Caenorhabditis elegans: one gene and its partner. The protein of the gene in region 1 binds, or shares a complex with, the protein of each later gene. Each region holds a gene or a part of one and is shown in the gene's direction. Other genes may lie near its edges. The genes, in order: gplb-1 and gpla-1.

Region 1 (11,781 bases):
GGTTTATGAAAGAATCATTGGACTATTGAAACATCAAATTCACAAGATTTGCGGCGATCAAAAACTCGATTTCTTCAGCTTGCAATACGTCGTATCGAGCGCTCAGGCTATGATCAACAACAGACCTTTGGTTGCTCACGCTCGTTCTCCAAACGACATGATCACCTTACGTCCAATGGATTTCATGATCCCAGGAGTCATGATTGAAACTCCAAGAACGCCGGCCGACAGTCCAACCACTAGCACGACTGAAACTCGTACCCGAGCCCATCTGGAAAAGTTCGAATCAGCCCTGGAACGTCTATGGACCATCTGGACATTTGGAGTCATGCTCATTCTGCGTGAAGTTTCGCATAAGCACAAAAGATGCTGCGATCTGAAACCGGAAGTTGGAGACGTCGTGATCATCAACCCGAACAACGTCAGTCGCCACAGATGGCCCCTAGCCTTAGTAGTGCAAGTAAATCAATCTAAACGAGACGGTGAAATCAGAACGGCAGTCGTGCGGTGCAAAGGAAAACTGTACAAAAGGTCAGTCTGTCAGCTCATCCCACTGGAGACGAGCCGCCAGAACATTCGACATGGTACAGGACCTGACAACGACACTCCCGCCAACGACACCAACAACGACACGGACAAGGACACCGCTGGCAGCGACCAGTGCAGATCCTGCCCCACACTGCCCACACCAGCACTCTTAGATTTCGAAAACTCACACCTTGCGCAAGAGGCGTTCCCAGCCCAAATTCTCCCGAACATCGGTGAAGAACCTAGAGATATCACTCTGGATAGGTGGAAATCACACGACGCTATTGGGCCTGAGATAGATATTTTTGAAGGACCCGACTACGACACTAACAACCCGCTCTTCCCCGAAGATGGGGAGGATGAAGACAGACCAGTTGAATACGTGGACCCCAACACGGCGATCCCCGAGATAGCCTACGACCACGCAGAGACTAGACTGCCACACGGTCGTACTAGAGAATATCTCGGTCGAAAAGCTAAGGCCCCGTATATCAACTACAATCACGCCGAGATTACTCGCGTCTTGTCGAATCCTTCACCCCCGGAATGTTGTCGATTCCCCGTAATCCCTCAGGAATCTCTCAACCTAAAGGACTTTTAGGACTGAGAGATTGGCTCCCTCACTCACCATCTCTCAGTCGTCCTTTATTTCCCAATTAGCTGAGTGTGTTTTCCCCTAAAATCCATTATTCAAAAAGCCGCCATTCTGTCCAGATGCAAACGCGCCCCACTGAACGCCGTGCAGCGTTATAGCGGAGTATCGTTTGCGCGGTACAGATGATTCGGTTTTTATAGTAAGCGACACAGATTAACTCTTCCTTCTACTTTTTCCGAAATATATATATTTTTAATGAGTTTTTCCATATTTTCTCATTCCGTAAATTCGTGTAGACACAGATCTACACGATCCGGTCCCTTTTTGCCCGTTTGCACGTCTTCAAGTCCACTTCCAACGTCAATCCCTAAATTTGGGCCTAAAATATAATTTATTTTTATACTTTCTTTATTATATTCAATCCACCCAAAACAACGGGAATGGATAAATAAACTTGAATTCGTGTAATAATTGTGTTCTGTTATTAAATCCTCACAACATGCTTATCCGCGCGTCCTTCGATATTATGCTCCGAGTCCATCCGCGCGAATTGACCGTCAGTGGGTTTCCGACTCCCTTCGATTAGCTGACGTGTCAACAAACTTTGTAGTTGATCACTTTGTCATAAAAAATTATTACACTGAGATATCAGCATCCGAAGTGAGTGCGTTTTTTGAATTTTGAGGTTCTACTATACCTCAGGTTTTAGTCAGAATTCGTGTTCAGAACATCTAAACTAGATAAACTACAAACATTGCATTTTTCTATAACATCTGATCAAATTTTGAAATGTTTTCAAAAAAAGTTTTGAAAAAAATTTTGAAAATTTTTGTAAGGGGTAAAAAAAAAAAAAAAAACCTCATTGCCAACTGTCCTATGCTAAAACCTTTGCAATATGCTTATGCTGACATTTTGAATATGCTTATGCTGACGTGCGCTTATGCTGACAAGAGCTCTCACGAGAATTTCGTGATCCAAAAAACACATTGAAAGCTTATATCAGGACACTTGACGACGTAAAAGAAAACTGAACCTATCCAGATTCGAACCAGCAATGACTGTATCTGAAGACCGTGCCCTTAACCACTACACCAAAAGGGCGAGAGGTGCGCGCGTTCTCAAGGAATATATGAAATCAGTCGAGCTGTATGACAACTAGAGCTTCTCTCGATTGGAAGATATCTAGTACTTGAAAATGTGTTCATAAAGATTGGAACTACTACAGAATAAGTCATTAAGTTATTTTCTGTTCCTATTGTTCAGTTTCTACAAGAAATCTATTCCACATTGACTTTTGTTGTGAATTTGAACCTTCCGTTGACCTAAAATACTTCTGGAGAGCTACTTTTTTCGAGAGTATTCTTAAGTTTTCTACAAATTCAACTTGTTGGATAATCGGGAACTTCTCTGATTCCTCGAAAATACTGTTTAAAAAAAAATTTTGGCCTAAATTTTTTTCCTCAAAAACACCTTCATTCTGGTATTTTCTAGGAGCATATGTCATCTGTATTGTTTAATATTTTTTTGTTGCTTCAAAAGATCTGTTTTTGTGCTAAAAAAAGAACTTTTTCGTTGATTTTTGCATTTAAAAATATACAAATGTCGTCGAATTAAATGCACGATACGCAAAGGTACGCAAACACCGATGTGTACCGTACTCCGAAATGTTTTTAATTTCCATGTTTTAAATTAAGAAAGCGACAAAAATGAGAGTTTTAAGCACAAAAACAGAGCTTTTGAAGCAAAAAAATTTATTAAACAATACAGATGGCATATGCTCCTAGAAAATACCAGAATGAAGGTGTTTTTGAGGAAAAAAATTTAGGCCAAAATTTTTTTTTAAACAACAGTATTTTCGAGGAATCAGAGAAGTTCCCGATTATCCAACAAGTTGAATTTGTAGAAAACTTAAGAATACTCTCGAAAAAAGTAGCTCTCCAGAAGTATTTTAGGCCAACGGAAGGTTCAAATTCACAACAAAAGTTAATGTGGAATAGATTTCTTGTAGAAACTGAACAATAGGAACAGAAAATAACTTAATGACTTATTCTGTAGTAGTTCCAATCTTTATGAACACATTTTCAAGTACTAGATATCTTCCAATCGAGAGAAGCTCTAGTTGTCATACAGCTCGACTGATTTCATATATTCCTTGAGAACGCGCGCACCTCTCGCCCTTTTGGTGTAGTGGTTAAGGGCACGGTCTTCAGATACAGTCATTGCTGGTTCGAATCTGGATAGGTTCAGTTTTCTTTTACATCGTCAAGTGTCCTGATATAAGCTTTCAATGTGTTTTTTGGATCACGAAATTCTCGTGAGAGCTCTTGTCAGCATAAGCGCACGTCAGCATAAGCATATTCAAAATGTCAGCATAAGCATATTTCAAAGGTTTTAGCATAGGATAGTTGGGGTTTTAGCATAGGATAGTTTTTTGAAAACTTTTCAAAATTTGATCAGATGTTATAGAAAAATGCAATGTTTGTAGTTTATCTAGTTTAGATGTTCTGACTAAAACCTGAGGTATAGTAGAACCTCAAAATTCAAAAAACGCACTCACTTCGGATGCTGATATCTCAGTGTAATAATTTTTTATGACAAAGTGATCAACTACAAAGTTGTTTATCTTAATATAAAGTACAATTTTGTAGTTAATAGTTTTTTATCAAAAAAATTGTTGGTTGAGATATGAACAGAAAAAGAAGAAGAAAATACAAGCATGAAGGTGCCGAACTTTACACAACTTTATCTCGACCAACAAATTTTTTGATAAAAGACATTCAACTACAAAGTTGTACTTTAGATTAAGATAAACAACTTTGTAGTTGATCACTTTGTCATAAAAAAATTTTCAACGGAGATATCAGCATCCGAAGTGAGTGCGTTTTTTGAGCTTAGGGATTCTACTATACCTCAGGTTTTCGTCTGCAATCGTGTGCAGAACATCCAAACTAGAAAAAACTACAAACATTGCATTTTTCTGATCAAATTTTGAAAAGTTTTCAAAAAAAATTTTGGAAAATTTTATTAGATAGAGGTAGTCAAAGAGCATTTGAAGGAAGTCAATGAGCATTTATACATCAGATCTCATCTCCATTTTTCCGGAATTTCAGGAAATGAGAAAGAGCACAACCTTCTTAGACATCAAAAACTAACATGTTCTTGAAATTTCTGATTGCGGCGGAAAAAACTGAAAGCGGAAAAAAACTGAAAATTCTGAAAAATTAGATAAAGGTAGTCAATGAGCCGAAAGGTAGTCAATGATCTAAGGTAGTCAAAGAGCAAAAGGTAGTCAATGAGCCGAAAGGTAGTCAATATTCTAAGGTAGTCAAAGAGCAAAAGGTAGTCAAAGAGAAGGTAGTCAATGAGTGTTTGCCACAAAAACTGGACAATTAAACAACTAGTAGCTTAAGTTGACAAGTTGCAATGTACATCCTCTTCTCATTTCGATAAATCAAAAGTTTTGATGAAAACGAGGTTCCTGAAAAAAAGCGGTGTGACAGGGAATTTGCGGAAATAAAAAAAAAATTATTATACTTCAGTTCTTTTTCTTTACGAATTAATCACAAATGTGTTTAATGTAAGAACAATACATGATGCAGAAAAATGTCCATATACTACTAGTAAACTAGAAAATGTCAGCAAGTTAGTAAATCTGAGTTCAAAGTAAATGAACTATTTCTTAGTAAATGACTGAGAGTAAAAAATGAGTAAATTAGACCTTGAAGTAAATGAACTCTTTTTCAGTAAACGAGAGAAAGTGAAATCGCTAGTAAATTAGACGTCGAAGTAAAAGTGCCACTTACGTAAACGAGTGATTTAGTAAATTAGACTATTAGTTAATGAGGGTTTGCCCTAATTTTTCTATGCACCTCCTTTTAGAATTTTCAGGAGAAAAATGGATTACTATATGAATCGCATTTCGAGAAATTCATAAATCTGAGATACATGTAACTGCTACAAAAATTTTCTCGAAATAATCTTGGAACTCTCGAATAAAACATTCAACAGGAAGAAAAAAGAAAGAAGAATATAAATTTAACAAATTTAATACTAAGAATTCGGTTTCAAAATTTAGGAATAGGGTATGTAATACATTGATTTCAAAAATTAAAAGTACGGGGAAAATTTTTTCGAGAAAGAAAATAAAAAATTTATGCAGAAAGTGATCATTATTTTGTTAATTGCAAAAAACATTATCAAGTTGGAAGATGTTGTCATAAAGTCATCAGAATGATTAGATTGATATGAATATATCTCATATATCAAAACTAAAAAGAATGGCAAATGGGTGTGGTTTTGACCACTGATTCTTCTCTCTGTCTTCTCCTTCTTTTTCTCTTCTTTTCCTTTTCCTTCACTTTTTATCCAAAATTCATTGTTTCTGAAAATGTGATGCTCCGGAGATGAATTTCTTGCCTTCTCGATTCCAAATTAAATTCTTCCCGCCCGTCTTTTCGTGCAATCTGGAGCTGTGAGCGTCTTTTTTGTTGGTGAAAACAATGTGTTCTGGTGGTGGGTGTGGTGCTCTTTGGCATCTGCTAACAATTTCAAATTAGATCCACAACTATTTCTGAGCTCCTAGAACTATTTTTCATTGTTGACGTTAAGCTCTTTTGAAAAAAATGCTTATATTTCCCGTGATCACTATACTTCATATATTTTTGGTAACTTTTTGAAATATCTTCTAAAATGAATTTAATATGTAACAATATTCTAACAAAATTTTTAATATTGATCAGATAGTTTTTCCAAATTTAAGTATTAACCAGGCGCGAAATTTTCCGAATTTTAGGCCAAAAATACGGTGCCCGGTCTCGACACGAATTTTTTTATTAGGTAAAAATGGGTGTGTGCCTTTAAAGAGTACTGTAACTTTAAACTTTCGTTGCTGCGGAACTTTTGTCGACTTTTCATAGCTATTAGATAAAAATAAAAAAATATTCAATATTTTCAACAAATCTTTAGAAAAACTATGTAAAATCGATAAAAATTCTGCAACAAAAATTTGAAGTTACAGTACTCTTTAAAGGCACACACTCGATTGTATTTAACAAAAAAAGTCGTGTCGAGACCGGTTACCGTAATTTTTGCGCAAATCGGAATAATTTCGCGCTTGGGTAATAAGCATCACATCTCCAACTAATTTAAAAGCAAAAGTGTGATTTTTAAATTCAGATTTCGGTTGAATCTGGAAAAGAATGCGAGTTTGCAATGCGATTGGTCCCAGGATTCAATCCACTTCGTCAAGTTGATGCAAATGGAAAAGAATGCCGAGGAAACGTGGAATTGCCATTTTGCAAGGGTTACTGTAAGACTAGCGAGGTGAATTTCCTTTTTTTTCCGATTCAAAAATAATCCAATTAAATTTCAGAGTGGCACCCATGGCTTTCCACCACGAGTTCAAAATAGTAAAGTGTGCACATTGGTCACCACTTCAACTCGAAAAGTAGTTCTTGATGATTGTGATGATGGAGCCGATGAGAGTGTCAAGTTTGTAATGGTTCCACATGGAACTGATTGTGAATGTTCTGCAGTTCCACTTGAACAACATCATTCATAAATTATCATACATTCATTCAAAAATTCATCGAATAAATAAAAGTTTTGTGTATGCTTGTTTTAATCAAATACAGGGTTAATTTTTAATATAAATAGATCGTGGAATAATCAATTCACAATTTTGTCGTTCTGTCTCGTCCCATTTTCATTCGTTTCGCATCAAGTTTCGCTGGACTTGGGGATCGTGACCGATTGGAGTCTATCTGAAAAATTTCAAAAAGGTGAAAGAAAAAATGACTTTCAAGAAACTCACAACTTTCTTTGAAACGAGACATGTTTTGCAGTAATATTTGAAACTAGGTTCCGATGCTTCTTCAATCGAAACTGTAGGGATACTGCATGCCATGTGGTAACAATCTCGACATCTTCTACAAGCGAGAACTTGATTTCCAGCTAATGAGACTCCGTGGCATACTGCACAGGGCTGGAAAATATATATTTATGATAACATTTGTTTATTTAATTATTTTACCTGTTCACTTGTACAATAGATTGAATCGTCAATAACTGGCACTAGTTTCTTCAATTTCTTCTGAAAACATAATTTATTTTGAAAATAGATCCAAAATTAAAAATCCCTTACCATTCCACCAGGAGCAGAGGACGATGAAGCACCAGACTTGTCTATTACAAATCCAGATTTATTTAAAATCTGTGGAGGAGCATACATCAATCGTTGAGTTCCGGCAATTCGTTTTTGTGGATTCAGCATATTTGGATTGAGTTTCGAAACATTACCCGAATCCATTGTGAAAGAATCTGTGTAAAAGTTGTTTGTGCTGGAAGAAAGTGACCATGTCTGAAAAAATGGATGAGATATTGATTTCACAATTCATATTTCATGAAACCTTGGCAACCAATTCAGAAAATTCTTTATCAGTGCTTTTATCGATAGATTTCATAAACTTGATGAGTGTCGAAATGTATGCATTCGCATCGAATTTTTCTTCTTCAGGAGATTCTGACGTGTCTTGTTTCTCATCAATCATCAGAATATCATCATCAACGTCTGTCATCTTTATTTAAAATCTGAAAATTTTTGATTCGTTTTTTTCTCATTGGTGAGAACGAGGAGGAAATAGAACGGATTGAACTTTGAACAATTTTTGAAACATTTTGAATAGAAATTCTGTATTTTTATTTTCAGGATACTTTTATAATAAGAATAACAATCAAAAACAAAAAGAAAAATAAGCCTATTAAAAATTCTAAATTACAAAAAAACAAAATATCGAATCAAACAACTGGTGGCATCAATGGATCCTCTTCTGCTTCCGCCTCTTGAAGAATCTTGTCCTTGTAGTCCATATATCTGAAAATTTCCCATTTATCTCTAAAGTTCTTTGGGAGTAATTTTTTCACTTGTGTAGTGGCTTTTCGATTTTTTCTGAGAAAATAAAAACTGCAAAATCTAAAACAAATATGTTCGATTTTTAAAAATCGGGGAACAAAATGTTCGGGAAGTTACCCATAAAACGCAATTCTAACTTTGTTTATGCTGATGACTATTTCTCGAAAAATCAAAAATTCGTTTCGAAATATCGGAAAAATGAAAACTAAAAACATTTTTAACCGGTTACCTTGGTATTATTTTGTTTTTTTTCGTTTACTTTTATTTCTATTTTTTTCAAAATTTTTAAAATATTGTTTTTCAATAAGTTTCATTTCAAGAAAAAAGCGTTGCTGCTACACCAGGGCTGTATCCTTATTGGTTATTTTGGTATTTTGACGAAAAATTGATTTTTTGGTTTTGAAACCAAAAAACCGAAACATTTTTCAATTATCAGCGTTTTTTGAAAAGTAATTCAATTTTTTTTGGTTTTTCGCAAATTTAAATTGTTTTGTTTTTTGATCCAAAATTATTTTTTTGGTCCCAGCCCTGTGCTACACAAGTGACGTTTTTTAATTGTTAATTTTCCAAATATTAACCTGTATTTCTTATTCATCGGCCCAGCTCTATGCATTTGTGTGAGAAGTCGTTCTTCAACTCTTTCCAATGCACTTCGTGACAGAACAATAGTATCGTATTTCATTAATGAGAAGCAATTCAGACCATACACTGGCATCACATTGAGCCACGGAAGAGCTTGTTGAGCTTCAGCAAGTCCACCGCTAATCTCATCACAATCATCAACGAAAAGAACAGAGTATCCGTAGTTTCGAGCTTCGCAAAGCTGGAATTTTTGAAATTAAAACAGAAAATGATTTTTCTATAGATAACTTACATCAATCCAATATTTAGGGTCTCCATTCTGTAAGTTTTGAATTTTGTCAACAATATGCAAATCGTCTTGTGTGTGCTTTAGAGTGAGAGCAACACAAAGTCCCTGAATTCTGACTGCGTCTGGAAGCATGTAGAACCACGTTCTCGGTCCACGAACACCATTTGCGAAACCTCCTCGAATAAATTGTGGGGAACGAATAGAACCAACGTGAGCCCGTCCAGTCTTCTTTTGAGGCCACGGCTTTCTACCCCCTCCGGGCATTTCAGCTTTTGTCAACATTTTCGTCATTTGCACATTTCGATATACACTTTGCCACGTGAGGTTACGGTGTAGAATATCGATACGCGGTGATGTTCTGAAAATGTCTGGATGGAGATCCACGAGTCCGAGCTTCTCATCTTCGATGGTATCCAAATTTGAAACCCAAGCTTGTGGAGTTTTGATGAATGGATTTTCTGGTTTTCGCCATAATTCTCTTCGTGTATCGATGGATTCGCCAGATGAAGTCGAGGAAACATCCTGAACAGCCGATGAGAATGCTCGACTTGAAATTAAAAAACGCAGCTGCCTGGAGAGCATCTGAAAAGGGATAAGGTGTATAAATAATTTTAAAAAACCAAAAAAAAAGAAAGATATGTTCTAACACTGTTCGTTTACAGTAGTGATTCAAAATTACGATTTGAAAGCAATATTTTGATTTTTTAAATAGGTAAACAACTGGATATTTAGAAAATGAAGAAACAATCAGAAAACAAGGAAAACAAAAGATCTAATCAAAAATTTTGAAATCTTGAAACTAAATACTAAAAATTAAAATTTATTTTCCTTGCTGCTGACGTTTTCGTTCTTCTTGTCCTTTTCGAACGGCTTCCTTGAACATTCTGAGCAAATATTCAGTGGATTGTGGTGTATCATCGTTTGCAGGAACCAAATATGTCAAGTAAGCCGGATCCGAATTCGAGTCAACTACTCCAATTGTGGGAATCGCCATTTTTGCGGCTTCAACGATGGCTGGATGGTTTTCGCCGAGTGATGTGAGGGTTGACAGGAAGCAGACAGCATCTGGAAGTCGAACTGAAGCTCCGAGAAGTTGTCGAGTGTTCGTTAGAGTTCCTGATTGCCACTTTCGAACGTGAGAGTATTGCCCAACCTGGAAAATAACACCTTTTCAAATTTTTTTTTGTAAAATTTTTTTGCTTGATTTTTAAAGATTACTGTTTAAAAGACATACATTTTTACAGTAACATTCACAACTAGAAAACAATGGTGAATATTTTCTGAATAAAAAAAAACAGCTCAGGATCGCAAATTCCGCAGAAACAAATAATCTCGCAAGATTATTAATTATCGGATCAAAGTATGTTCACATCACTGCTGTTATGAAAACTCGAACCATGAATCATTTTCCAATAGATTGGTGTTCTCACCCCTACACCACCATGCACACTGTCTCACCTCATCTGCTGCCTTCTCAACATCAAACATGGTGTCTCGATTGGAAGTGACAAAAAGAATCATTCCACCGCGCAATGACACATGAGCAACGAAATTTAGAGCTCTGACGAGATATTTTTTGGTAATATCGAGGTCGAAGAGGCAAACTCCAAGACGTTCACCGTACAGGGCCCACTTCATATTGTTGTTTACTGTTCCGACCTAAAAAAAATTATATTAGTTGTTAATTCAACTTCTCAAGCTTAAAATAAATTTTAAAAAATGCGAAAAAATCCCGAAGTTTTTTTCGTAATTTTCCAGTGCAATTTTCGAAGAAAAGAAAATTGGGAAATCGACTTTTAAACGTATTTCATTCATTTTTTTTAACAGTTAGAACCGCCTTTCTTTAAATAGACTACCTTATGTCCGTAGTGAAGTCTTGCTTTAAACATCTCATCGATATGGACCATTTTTTCAAAATTAAATAAATCTTCATGTTGAAGTGACGCGGAAACGAATGGCTTCAACACTGTTGGCTGGACTGTTCCTTTTTCAAGAGTTGCACGATCCGGAACAGACGACGATGATGAAGTAGATGCAACTGGTTTCTGGAAACAAAGAATTCTAAATTATATTTTTGGTAAATGGTTACCTGCTGCGACGCGGAAAATCGTGTCGAGAAGGCTCTTTCTGTACGGATTGCAGCTGCTACAACTCGTCTCATCTGGAAATTCGTGTTGAAAGAAAACATGGTAAGTAACTAGTAAGTTAGAAAATAAGTAATAATCAATTTGGATACAGAAACCAAAGAATCGATAATTCAAAGATATTTTGCAAACTGAAAACAAACAAGTTCATAGAAGCATAAAATTTGATTTGAAATGTATTTCGATATCTCTGAGAACAATGTGAATGTACTGTACCAACCGAGAAAATTCGTGTGCTATGAAAGGAAAGAAGACGGGGAGGCGGGGTTCACTAGTCTGAATTACTCAATCAATAAAATATGAAAACAAAAATCGAAATATGAATAATTATTTAGCTGATTATATAAAATACATGAAAGAAAAACACGGGGGACTTATGGCATTCTATTGAGATGATTCTTGAATATTTCTGAATCTACTGATGGATTGTGACTGTTGGAGAGATCGCAGCAATAATTGGCAAACAAGAGTAGAGTTGTCATCACTTTTTGCTAATTTTTAGACATGGAAACATTGGAATCTCTTCTGAAAACGACCAAACGACATTTCTGTCCGTCAAATCAAGTTTCAGAACTCTGCAAGCAATAATGTTCGATTTCGCCACGTGGATCAATTGCCTGGAAATAAGAAGATTTTTAAACGACCAAACAGCATCAACCAACATCATTTCGCGATTTTGCTCCACAGAGTTATCGATTTTTTCGAGATGTTCACGTGCTTCATTGAAACTTTT
Region 2 (12,361 bases), 3.5 Mb from region 1:
TAACTTACACATTATGATCAGTAGCGTTTGCAGTGGAGTTGTTCTTCGACATGATGCATGAGGATGTAGATTATTTATCTCGGACTTGTTGTCAAGTTGAAATAATAATAGTGAGGAATGAAGAATATATGAAAGAAATTTAAGCGAGATAGTCCGAGTGGAAAAATTACGTGGAACTTTTAAAAATCAAAACAGTCAAAGGTCACGCGTGAAACGATATTTACTAAAGAAAACAAAACACTTTTTTAAATGTTTTTTTTTCGAAATGAAAATATTACCCTTCAAAGTATTGCTGATAAGTTTGCATATTGTAAGTTTGCAAACCCTGTAACTTAGCGTTCTGAATGTTTCATGGAAAATCTTGTTTTTTCTGTACACTTTAGAATGTCTAGTCGCAGAAAGTGAAAAACTCGTTTAAGTTTATAAGATCTACAGATAAAAATTAATCGTTCAAACATTGATTAATTTTTTCCATCGTAGGAAAACGGCTTCTCTTTTCAAATACAAAATAAGGTGTTTAAGATTTTCAGAACAAGCATTCTATCAGAAAAGGTAAGGCTACTCCCCTTACAAACCGGACAAAAATCTCTACATTTTTTAAACACTTCCTAGGTTGTTCACCTAAAATTGAATAAAATAAAAATATGTTCTCTGGTCCACATCGAAGTTATTTTTATTTTGTTTTAAATTGTGTTTGAAAAAACTAATAAAATGTGTTTAAGTTTACAACTCAAAATGTACCGATACCAGTTTTGGGGTCCATGTTTCAAATAAATTCGAAAACATGTATACAAATAGTTTTCTGTACATTTGCGACAAATTCACAAGCTAAAAAATAATTATTTTTCTCGACATTTCTCGAGGGATTTGTATATTTTTGTTGTTTTTTCATTGTATCCACAACAAAATTATATCATTTTTTTCAAAACTAATTTCCAGAGTATTCCATACCATCTAAATTTTAATTAAAAACTCACTCGCCCAACCAAAACATTTGTGAAATGTTTGCTATTATCAATTATTTTTCTGACCTGCAACCGATTTTTTGGCAATTTGGAAAATTTGATTACGTCATTAATTTCGAACAGATCATTTCGTGGCGATAGTAGAGGCCCCGCGAAATTCAAAATTGATAAGAGGAGCTGCTAACTGATAATAATACAGAAAAAGAGTTGAATGAGATGGTAGACAGTGAGAAGAGGCGCAGAGAAATTGAGAAGACAAAGACTGAAACGGCCACTGTTGTCGCTATTTTTAGACACTCTCCACCTATTCTTCTAATCTTCCCATTTTCAGCATCATCAACTAAATGAGTATTATCTAGTCGGGTCTCTAGTACAGTTGACCATTGTTTATAATATTTCATCTAATAGTGGTCATTTCAACAATATTTTGCATTTCACTCATCTATTGTTTTCTGTTGTCCTTGTTTTGACTCTCCCGTGAGCATTACATCTTCTGTATCATCGTTTTTTTTTTGGGAATTCAAAGACCGAATATATGGTTTCCGGGATTATTCATTAATTCTTGAAACGTGTAAATTGTGTAATAATGCAAAATTGACCTATTTTTGAGAAAAATGAACATCAAATCAAAGAAGCATTACTTAATGTATTTTATCAGTAAACCGTAGTATTTTATAGACATCAGTCTCAAATATGATGTATGTTAAAAGATTGAAAAATTTATTTTCAGATATTCTATTGTGTTTTTTTTGCCAGCTTCGTGTGTGTTAACCTCCCAATATTCTAAAATTTTAAATATCAGTTGGTTAATAAGTTTTTAAATTTTTAAAAAATAATTTGTGTTGTTTTCGCAACTGATCTTCCAAAAATAACCATTCTTGTGACTAAAACAGTGAATCATGGTTCCTTTTTCAAATGTAAACTTCCCATTTTAATAGTTCAAGTTTATCAGTTTTGCTATTAACCATAGAAATCTTCAAAACTTAAATCAAACATAAACAATGACTAAACCATATTAGTAGAGTATTAGAGGATGTTCAAAGCATATTTTGTGCAACAGATGATTTCATGTTCATTTAAAATGTAAACCTTTAAAAGTGTGGGCTTTTAGTCATAGGTGTGGTTTTGAACTTTTAGTAGTGTCTGGTTCCGTTAGTACTAAAGTAGTTTCAACTTCCAATTGAGATTGTCTGTAGTTAGAAAGTTTTTGAGTGAAGAAAACATCGCATTTTTTAGTTTAATTTTTATGAAGGTGACTGTAATGTGTGATATTATCTTAATCTGTTCCTCTTTGCCAAAAAAAAAACTGCAGAAAGCCCAGTGGGCAGAGCTATTTTTTAATTTTTGTGTAATTATATCTACGTTGTTTCTATGTTTCTTGTTTCTTGTTTCTATACTTCGCATACAATCAACACGTCTCCTCTATTATCGGTCTATCGAAATTAAACCAAAAATCTCCTGGATACAAGAAAAATCGATAAAGAGTTGGGCTAATATCCGGACATCTATACGATTTTGATGAGAATCACTGCAACAACTCGCTTTTTTTCGTTCTTTTCGTCTGTACTTTTGATAACATGTGAGCGACCAGTTTTGAACTTTCAAACATTTGAAAAAAAAGAGTAACTTATGCTACGTTTGTTCAAAATTTTCCTAATATGAAATATGTTAAATTGTGTCATTGAAATATTGGTTCATTTTGCATAGATTTGAAACATAGCTAATATCTTCCCACGCATGCTAAATTCTGGACAACATTTTTTAAAGAGTTACTGAGCCGATTGCTGATGCAAAGAGCACATCAAAATTTTTTTAAATAACCAATATTTATTAGAGACATTCATGTAACATTACATAAAGATCAGTTTACTGTCATTGTCTTTCACGATAATAATGCTTAGTTTTAGAGTTACACAGAATCCAGGAGAGATGGTCTAGAAACTCCTAAGATGTCTGCCGCTATATTTATTGCAGAGCACATGTAGAAAAAATCACAAGAAATACTTCTTGGGCTTGGGGTTATACTCATTTGAATAGTCTGCAAGTAATCAAATAACAAAGGATACCGGTAAATGTATAAAATTATCAAAGTTAATTGTTGAGCTGTCTAATTATAAATTAATTCCACGTCATAGTACATATCCGGCTGTATCTTATTCTCGAAGCATCTTAGAAACTGCCTCTCACGCCATCGTCGTCCATATCGGGAAGATGCATGTGTTAAGCACCATTTGAAACAAGGGCTCAAGTGGTGGGCGTCCTCTCTTCTGTTTCATTCTTGTCTTCCAATCTCATCATATCGTTGCTCTCCTTCTGTTTTCTTTCCGATTCATCCTTCATATTATCTTTCTTCTCGGTTTTCTTGGTCATTTTCTACATTTTCTGACGTAGTACGTGTTTGTGTTTGTCCTTCTCTCATCCTAAAAACTGAGAGAGAACGAGAACGATCGTTTACTGTGTGAAGAGGAGGAGCAGGATATTTGGATATCATATTGAATATGAATGTTTTGACTGAAATTCGAAACCCATTCTTCTTAAGACGTCGTTTTCATTTTTTTTTCTTATCGAAACGTGGGAAGTGGGTGTGTTCAGTCTCAAATGTAGGGTTAACCGGTTCCTTTTTTCTAAGTCATCAGAATTCTGATGTCTCATGTTCCACTGTTCTTGAAATCCTTAAAAGCCTCTTTGTTAGAAATTAGAAACCTTGAGGCTAATTTCGTTGCACTATTCCAGTGCTCGGTGAGCTTTCACTCATTCTGCCTTTCATTTTTCTAATTTTCCGATTTTTCCGACTTTTTCAGTGTTTGATATTGGTTTTTGACACTGGTGTTGAATTTGATATTGTACTCACTCTTTTTCATAGAAACATGATTTTTCAAGACTCACGAATTCGATAAGAATTAACACATGTGCCAAAGCATAACACGTAGTTCTACTTACTTTTTTGATGACTTGTGCTTTAAAAATTGTTAGCTCTGAAAACCGTTTACCAGTTAAAAAGTTTTGCCAAAACTAGAAATAGTTTAGCTTGAGGCTCACCTCCAACAAATCAAATCATAGACTGTTATAGTCTTTGAATTAAAATGCTCACTTTTCGAAAATTATCATTTTTCGCTGTAATTTTCAATTACAGAGCAGAGTTCTACATCGTCATTCTAATTTTGTAGGTGACTATTTTCGGATGAACTGTTCTGTAAATTTTTGTGTTGCATGCAGCATGTTTCTTCTAAAAGTCTTGCTTGTTATATGAAAATGTTATCAGCTGACGAAAATTGTTACTTCTTTTACAGTTTGTTAAAGAATCATTTTTCAAAATCTGTAAAATAAACCGATATATAAATTATTAAAGTAAGGCTAAATAGGTTAAGGCTAAATATGGACTCGATTGCGATAGCGAACAAGTACCATGAGGGAAAGTTGTAAAGGAGTTTGAAAAGTTAAGTATAGGTGTAATAAAGTCAATACTAATAAAAGAAATATGAGTTTGACTTGTTTCAAAATATACAGAATACCGTAGTTTCTCTATCAGTAGGTCACTTGTGTTTGTTGTTCCATATAGTTGTAAAGAAATTTTTTCAAGGTTTTGTTTCAGTCATACTAATGAAGCAAATATTTAACAAATAAACTTTAAAAAAACTTTTGCAAACTCGAAATAACAAGCCTACTAAAGTATGCGAGAAATGATGTAATGTATTTCTAATCATTCCTGTTCTTTGGTTGTGTTTTGAATCCTATTTTTCAATATTCAAACAAAGCTTTTTTTTGTATTAAAAATAAATAATGAATCACAAATGATCAGACGAACTTGACGAGATGAAACATCTGTGTTGTAAGAAAATAATGAAGATAAGACGAAAAAATGCAAAACAAGGTTTCTTCTCTGAATTTAGCTTCTATATCCGCTTTCGTTGTCCTTTTTTCCATCTGGAAATTCGATACTTTTCCCAATGTTTTCATCCACACCTTTGTATTATTTTTATTTTCTTACATGGTTCGCATGTATCCATTTTCATGTATTTAATTGAACAACTACAGTACTCATCCCGCAAACCAATCTCTTTCAATACTTTAATAATCTCGTCCGGTTGTATGAACCAACTATAATCTGTTTCACGGAACCAATGCAGAGAACCTTATCAAATTCACGTTAATAAGGACACAAAAGTCTCCATCTTTTCTCGCTTTTTACTCAAGATCTATTCCAAAATTTCTGTGTTCTTTAAATTCTATTTTTAACTTTTCAGCCTATACCTTCTCAAATGATGGGCTCCAAAGCACGAGCACGACGACGTTTAAGTTGTTTTTTAAGCGTTTTTGTTGTGACATGCTTATTACAGTACTGCACAGCAGGTGTTACTAAGAATAATAGTTGCAAAAAAGTTGGTACGTCACGAAATCTACTAAACTTCGATCAGTGTCCTTTAAATTTTTTTTTCAGGAGTGGAGGAACTTATAGATGAAGAAGGCTGTGATTTGATGATAATTCGAATCAATCGATGCAGTGGGCATTGCTTCTCATTTACATTTCCTAATCCCTTAACGAAAAAATATTCAGTGCATGCGAAGTGCTGCCGGATGGTTGAATGGGAAATGGTTAGTATTTTTTAACTACAGAAATGACTTCTGAAAATTTATAACAAAGTTATTACGGAAGCCAAAATTCTGGGAATGTGTTTTGCGCAACATGTAAAAAAAATCTCGTAGCGAAAGCTACAGTAATTCTCTAAATAACTACTGTAGTGCTTGCGTCGAATTACGGACTTGATTTGCGATATATCCTTCGTTTCTCTGTATTACTTTCTCATTTTTGTTTTTTTTTTAAACATTCTATCGAAAAATTGATGATTAATTCATTTCGAAAGCCGAGCCCGTAAATCGTCACAAGCGCTACAGTAGTCATGTAAAGAATTACTGTATCGCTACGAGATGTTTTAATATTGTTTTCCAAGAATCAATTTTTATTTTTCAGCTTGAAACAGAATTAAAATGTTCCAAAGGAAACCGAAATCTTCGAATACCATCTGCAACACAATGTGAATGTTTTGATTGTCTTGTTCGATAGTTGCAGTTTCCATCTCTTTCATTTCTCATTCTTGAATCTCTTGAGTTTTACCTGCATAATAGATTTAATTTATTTTCTCTCCTCCAGTGCCACATTCATCCACATTTCCATAAAATCTCGTTCCCTTAATTATTTCTATAATAATCTCGTTGATACGGGCATCTAAAAATGCAAAAAATCAAAGCGAAAGAAGGATGACTGACATAAATTGTCTCAAATGAAACCGAACAAAAACCAAAATTACCAAGTTGATCTCTCTGCGTCTCACATTCTCTCATTCTATTTTCTTGTCTGCCAAACAAAAAACAAAATGTTCTTTATTGAAATAAACAATTGACAATGTTGATTGAATGATACCTCTAGCCAACAGAAAATGAGTTTGAATTGTGCATTATTCATGTACTGTACCTTTGTACTTTGTCCTTTTTTTGGAATATTTTTAATTAAATGAAAAAGAACCTAATAAACTTTTATTTTTCCTATAACCTTGGAGGAACACTCGTTTCGTTTAGCATATAAGATCTATAATTGTTTGCTCTAAACATATCATCTATGATCATGGATTTTCGACTTCCAATCTGAATATTTCCCAACAAGAAATGCATTGCAACTCGGACACCGTCAGTTTGATCATCTGCGAAGTAGAAACCAGTTGTTTCATCTCGTCGGAACAGCTCCTGGAATTTTTTAATAATGTTTAATCTTGTTCAAGATAGTTTTTTTTTTTAAGAACGAAAGTTAATTTTTAAAAACTCACTTTGTGCTGCTTAACAATGAATTTCGACCGTATAGCCATAAACTGCTCCGCGTCATTTTTATTCTGGTATATCCTAATTAGTCGTAACTGCTGAACACGGATTAAACAGGCAAATACAACTGCTAATGCAACTGATGGAAGTGCAATGAGAACTCCAAGTTCTTCTGAATCCGTCACTAGCTTCTGCACAAAATCGAATCGATTTCCAGGACTGTTTGAATTGACATCGAAAGCAAAAATTGAAGAGCCAACGATGAAGGATGGAACAAAAGCAGCAGTCATGTAAAATGTTCTCGATGCTCCTGAAGAATAAGAACAATCAAGAAAAAAAGTGTAATTTTTTGAATTCAGACATAAATATTATATATTTATTTGACATCTTCAGGGTTGTAAATATTTATTTTTTGCATGATTATGGCGAAAATGTTAGTTTTCTCTTTTTTCGAAAAAGAAGTGAGCAAAAATTCTGATAAACAGAAACATTCATAAATTTTTTAATTCTAATTTCAAAATTATTTTGGAAAAACATGCAATTTTGGGCAAAGTTTTAAACTTTTTCTGATAATGTTTTTAAGCAAAAAATCGTTTTTTTTTTCGTGTTAAAAAAATTGTTTCACTTTCTGTTTTCGAAAAAAAAATCCGGATTTCATCGAGAATAGGAAAATCCGAATATTTGTAGAACAGTGAGTTTTGAGAACATGCATTGTTAGTAATTAGTGAAATGTCCACTTTAGCAAAAAACTATTTTCGATAATAAATTTTTTTGAATCTGTCGAATAACCTTTTTTTTACATTTTGAAAACATAAATCTTACCAACATCTCTATAAATCAATGCCCATTCCTTTTCGTCGACGTTGTCTTTTTGGTGGGCTTTTCGAATATTGTCTCTATCGAAATTTTCTCGCTCTTCCTGCAATTTTTTTAATCTTTATTCAAAGTTTTTTTCAATATTTTCAACTTACAGCCAGTAGAAAATTTTTAATTTTATCGAAAACGCTTGAAGACGGACGAGAAGTACAAATTCCTCGATATAGATGCAATGAACTTTGATTTAAATTTTGAAAACACCGTATTATCATTCTGAATTCAAATTCGGAGTTTTGAATATTCAAAAAAGCTGTAAATATATTTATGAGACCAATGAAAACTCGAAATAAGCTAGAAAACCAATTTTTACACCGAAGGCTTTATTAAAGATCTCCAAACAATGTTTCAGGAAAGAATACAATGAATACAAAGAATTACAAAATTTCTTCCAAACTTTCAATGGTTCCGTAGGCGTTTATAGCTTCTTGTGTTAGACCCGCATTTCCAGGACGAACTACTAACTTTGTCTGTAACCCAGCTTTCTTGGCAGCAGCCGCTTCTGCTTCAACATCAGTCAGGAATAGTATTTCACTGGGAGGAATTTTAATTCGCTCGCTGATTTTCGTGTATGAATTGCTTTCTCCCTTCAGACCGATATTTGTGTCAAAGTAGCCATAGAGAATCTGAAAGAAAACATTAAAATGGATTGTGGAAAGAATATTATACTTTGGTCATATCTCCTTCAATTGAATTGGCAAACAAGAGCTTTTGAGCGTGGACCGATCCCGATGAGTAGATGTAGATCGGGATTTTTCTATTTTCAACAATTTTCAAAACTGGTAAAACGTCCGGATATACACTGAAATTGTAAAATTATACAATACGTGTTACTTATTTATTGTCGATTTTACTTACTGTCCTTTCACATCTCCGCGCTGGTAAGCCTCTTCCCAAATGAGCCCCTGGAGAGCTTTCATTGGTGTCAGCTGGAAAATATTGAATTTTAAACACCTTTTCTCAAATACTCTATAAACTTTTTTGTCTCTTTTTATCCAGTGTCTGACATTTTTTGTTACATCCTCAATGCATTCCTTTCTTGGTTCGCGGATCCGCCTGTAAAGTACATAAATTCGATAAAAACAAGCTGTGCAAATTAAATACTAACACAACTGCCACATCATTTTCCGCTTGTTGGTCTGCAATGTGCCTCAAATCTTCAACAATTATTTGAGTTGCTGGATTGTCGTAGTGCTCCTCCAAATAATTTCCAACGTTCTCGAACGCGTATGGAAAAAGCTCATCCTGTAAAAATAAAAACTTTAATTGATAATCAAATGGAAGAAATAGAATAGAAGAAAAAATAACCTTAACAAAGGAGATACTGGTTATTGTACCCTCAATATCTAGGAGCAGCGCGTTGAATTGAATAGTAGTGGTTGTCATGACTGGAATGCGGCTGGAATTTTCAAGAATTGGGCTATTTTGAACTAAATTAGTAGTGAAAGTGATGAAGAAAAATGGTTGTTTTCGTTTTTGTCATGATTTTTGAAACCAGAAAAGAGATGACATTAAAATAGATGAATATTGATTGTGAATAAAAGACAGTGCAAGGAACTTTGCAAAGATAGACGATAAACTACTGATAAGAGCGCAATATTGACGATTATTAATATTTGAAAATATGATGTAGACATTTGGCCTATTTTCTGACTAAATTAGTTATTTTTAATAGTTTCAAACCACATAAAAATGCAAAAAAAAGGAAATTAAGAGGGTTTTTGTGCAATACTTTTGTGAGAGAAAAAAATGTGTCGAGACACCTCTGTGCCGGAGAAACGGATTTCCAGAGAACATTGTTTCGCCATATTTATGTATATTTAGAAAATGATTTTAAGAATTTTTGAATAAATAACAATTTTACAATTATTTTCTTTTTGAATGTTATTAAATACATCACAATTAAAAAGCTAAGTACAAAATTCTTTCTTGAAACTGTGGTTCTCCAAAGTCACAATTCCTCTTTTAGTGAGGTCAGTACTATGCCACCTCGCTCCATTGTAAACACATATTTTATTGGAGAGAACAACTTATTTTATTGGACATGCCGTTACATTTTCTGAACCTGTTTTATTTTGTCTTTGATTGATTATCATATATAACTGAATAATTTTCAGCCTGATGGCAAGATAAAGCATGGGAAAACGCAATTTCTATATTATCCTATGTTTGGGAGTCTTTCTCACCGTATCACTCTATTTGTACAATGGAATTGAAACCGGAGCTGAAGCGCTCACCAAACGACAAGCAAGTTTTCAAATTAAGATTATAATAATATGACTTAAATTTATTTCAGAGATATGTAGATGATTTACGGCGGAAAATCGGAAATTTGGAGCATGTAGCAGAAGAAAATGGAAGAACGATAGACCGCTTGGAACAAGAAGTTCAACGAGCAAAAGCTGAAAAATCGGTAGATTTTGATGAAGAAAAAGAAAAAACGGAAGAAAAAGAAGTAGAAAAAGAGGAAAAAGAAGTTGCACCAGTTCCAGTTCGAGGAAATCGTGGTGAAATGGCTCATATTCATCAAGTAAAGCAACATATCAAGCCAACTCCATCGATGAAAGATGTTTGTGGAATTAGAGAAAACGTCAGCATTGCTCATTCAGACCTGCAGGTAGAATTTTATTTATATTTTAATAAAATTTGTTTTTTTAAGATGCTCGATCTCTATGACACCTGGAAGTTCGAAAATCCAGACGGAGGTGTATGGAAACAAGGATGGAAAATTGAATACGATGCAGAGAAAGTCAAATCTCTTCCACGTTTGGAAGTTATTGTGATACCTCATTCTCATTGTGATCCCGGATGGATTATGACTTTCGAAGAGTATTACAACAGACAAACTCGCAATATTCTTGATGGAATGGCTAAACATTTGGCAGAAAAAGACGAAATGCGGTTTATATATGCAGAAATATCATTTTTCGAAACTTGGTGGAGAGACCAGGCAGATGAAATTAAAAAGAAAGTTAAAGGATATTTGGAAGCAGGAAAGTTTGAAATTGTTACTGGCGGATGGGTTATGACAGATGAAGCTAATGCACATTATCACTCAATGATCACTGAATTGTTCGAAGGACATGAATGGATTCAAAATCATTTGGGAAAAAGTGAGTAAAAGTTTTTTTTTTGAATATTGCATAAATTGAATATTTAGGCGCCATTCCACAATCTCATTGGTCAATTGATCCATTCGGTTTATCACCATCAATGCCACATCTTCTAACTTCTGCTAATATAACCAATGCTGTAATTCAAAGGTATGAACATTATTTTTTAAAAATAGTAAAATATTTTCAATTTCCAGAGTTCATTATTCGGTGAAACGTGAGCTTGCTCTGAAAAAGAATCTTGAATTCTACTGGAGACAATTATTTGGATCAACTGGACATCCTGATCTTCGTTCACATATTATGCCTTTCTACTCTTACGATATACCTCATACGTGTGGCCCAGAACCGTCTGTTTGCTGTCAATTCGATTTCCGTAGAATGCCAGAAGGTGGAAAATCATGTGATTGGGGAATCCCTCCACAGAAAATTAACGATGACAATGTGGCTCACAGAGCTGAAATGATTTATGATCAATATAGAAAGAAAAGTCAACTTTTCAAGAATAATGTGATTTTCCAACCACTTGGAGATGATTTCAGGTGAGATTTTATTTCTTAATCTAGAAACTAATAGTGCTCTCTATTTAGGTACGACATTGATTTTGAATGGAATTCACAATATGAAAACTATAAGAAATTGTTCGAATACATGAATTCCAAATCAGAATGGAATGTTCATGCTCAATTCGGAACTCTTTCTGATTATTTCAAGAAGCTTGATACTGCAATTTCTGCGTCTGGCGAGCAACTTCCAACTTTTTCTGGAGATTTCTTCACTTATGCGGACAGAGATGATCATTATTGGAGTGGTAAGCATCAGGACAGAATCCAAAAATTCTTGTTTTCGAAGACGAAAAAAAAAGTTTTTTTTAATTTGAGAAAACGAAAACGAAAAAGGTTTTTCACCAAAAACACGAAAAAAATAAAACTTTGAAAAGTGATTTTGAAAAACTTTAATTTCGAGTGTAATTTTTTGGAAAAATGTAAAATTTAAAGTTTTATTCGTTTTCAATATTCCAGATTTTTTCTCTTTTTTTTTGTTTTTTTTTTTGAAAAAAGCAAACAATTATTTTTTTGGCCAAACACGAAACACAAAATAAACAAAACATTTTGTAAGATTGAAAAGCAATTTTGAAAAACTTAAACATCTATGTATCAAAAGTGTACTCTTTTTATAATTTCAAGTGTAGATTCTAGTTTTTCTGTTTTTCAGTATATCAAAGTTTTTCGCTTTTTTGTTCACTTTATTTTTTTGAAAAAAGCGAGAAATAAATGTATCGCTAAACAACTTCAAAAAAAACGAAAAAAAATAAATAACTAACAAAATTTTTTACCGCTTTACGAATTTTCAGGATACTTCACTTCCCGTCCATTCTATAAACAGCTTGATCGGGTTCTCCAACATTATTTAAGATCAGCTGAAATCGCCTTTACCCTTGCAAATATTGAAGAAGAAGGAATGGTTGAAGCGAAAATTTTTGAGAAGCTTGTGACTGCTCGACGAGCTCTTTCACTTTTCCAACATCACGATGGTGTAACTGGTACGGCAAAAGATCACGTCGTCTTGGATTATGGTCAGAAAATGATTGATGCTTTG

The links.
Region 2: the proteins of gplb-1 (region 1) and gpla-1 are in contact, whole or in part, in a crystal structure (PDB 8ENF), measured with the Caenorhabditis elegans proteins. Residues at the interface, in NP_001367962.1 of Caenorhabditis elegans: Val30 (codon at 6,344), Phe33 (codon at 6,353), Leu52 (codon at 6,410), Pro53 (codon at 6,413), Phe54 (codon at 6,416), Cys55 (codon at 6,419), Lys56 (codon at 6,422), Gly57 (codon at 6,425), Tyr58 (codon at 6,428), Cys59 (codon at 6,431), Lys60 (codon at 6,434), Thr61 (codon at 6,437), Ser62 (codon at 6,440), Glu63 (codon at 6,443), Ser64 (codon at 6,495), Gly65 (codon at 6,498), Thr66 (codon at 6,501), His67 (codon at 6,504), Gly68 (codon at 6,507), Pro71 (codon at 6,516), Arg72 (codon at 6,519), Gln74 (codon at 6,525), Ser76 (codon at 6,531), Lys77 (codon at 6,534), Val78 (codon at 6,537), Cys79 (codon at 6,540), Thr80 (codon at 6,543), Leu81 (codon at 6,546), Thr83 (codon at 6,552), Val105 (codon at 6,618); in NP_505998.3 of Caenorhabditis elegans: Asn36 (codon at 5,330), Glu45 (codon at 5,412), Ile47 (codon at 5,418), Ile57 (codon at 5,448), Ile59 (codon at 5,454), Arg61 (codon at 5,460), Cys62 (codon at 5,463), Gly64 (codon at 5,469), His65 (codon at 5,472), Cys66 (codon at 5,475), Phe67 (codon at 5,478), Ser68 (codon at 5,481), Phe69 (codon at 5,484), Thr70 (codon at 5,487), Phe71 (codon at 5,490), Pro72 (codon at 5,493), Asn73 (codon at 5,496), Pro74 (codon at 5,499), Leu75 (codon at 5,502), Lys78 (codon at 5,511), Tyr79 (codon at 5,514), Val81 (codon at 5,520), Ala83 (codon at 5,526), Cys85 (codon at 5,532), Cys86 (codon at 5,535), Arg87 (codon at 5,538), Met88 (codon at 5,541), Trp91 (codon at 5,550), Leu107 (codon at 5,974), Arg108 (codon at 5,977).

Annotation. Positions count from the first base shown.
Region 1 is NC_003283.11:8,464,970-8,476,750, reverse strand, and holds gplb-1 (Glycoprotein hormone subunit beta domain-containing protein), read left to right. Parts: upstream 1-5,718; 5' UTR 5,719-5,745; coding exon 5,746-5,787; intron 5,788-6,298; coding exon 6,299-6,445; intron 6,446-6,494; coding exon 6,495-6,683; downstream 6,684-11,781. Other genes in the region: phf-30 (PHD-type domain-containing protein), read right to left, coding at 6,796-6,885, 6,936-7,106, 7,155-7,214, 7,266-7,481, 7,531-7,698; mrpl-4 (Large ribosomal subunit protein uL4m), read right to left, coding at 7,919-7,994, 8,612-8,856, 8,908-9,486; mrps-2 (Small ribosomal subunit protein uS2m), read right to left, coding at 9,725-10,057, 10,363-10,563, 10,761-10,949, 10,994-11,065; natc-1 (Protein MAK10 homolog), read right to left, coding at 11,530-11,665, 11,711-11,781.
Region 2 is NC_003283.11:11,930,652-11,943,012, reverse strand, and holds gpla-1 (Bursicon), read left to right. Parts: upstream 1-5,207; 5' UTR 5,208-5,224; coding exon 5,225-5,348; intron 5,349-5,403; coding exon 5,404-5,558; intron 5,559-5,934; coding exon 5,935-6,027; 3' UTR 6,028-6,506; downstream 6,507-12,361. Other genes in the region: F58H1.6 (EGF-like domain-containing protein), read right to left, coding at 9-52; F58H1.8 (uncharacterized protein), read right to left, coding at 6,507-6,704, 6,785-7,086, 7,599-7,695, 7,748-7,864; F58H1.3 (Enolase-phosphatase E1), read right to left, coding at 8,027-8,275, 8,319-8,451, 8,508-8,578, 8,627-8,705, 8,758-8,894, 8,958-9,035; aman-2 (Alpha-mannosidase), read left to right, coding at 9,786-9,896, 9,946-10,266, 10,309-10,762, 10,810-10,912, 10,960-11,304, 11,353-11,573, 12,117-12,361.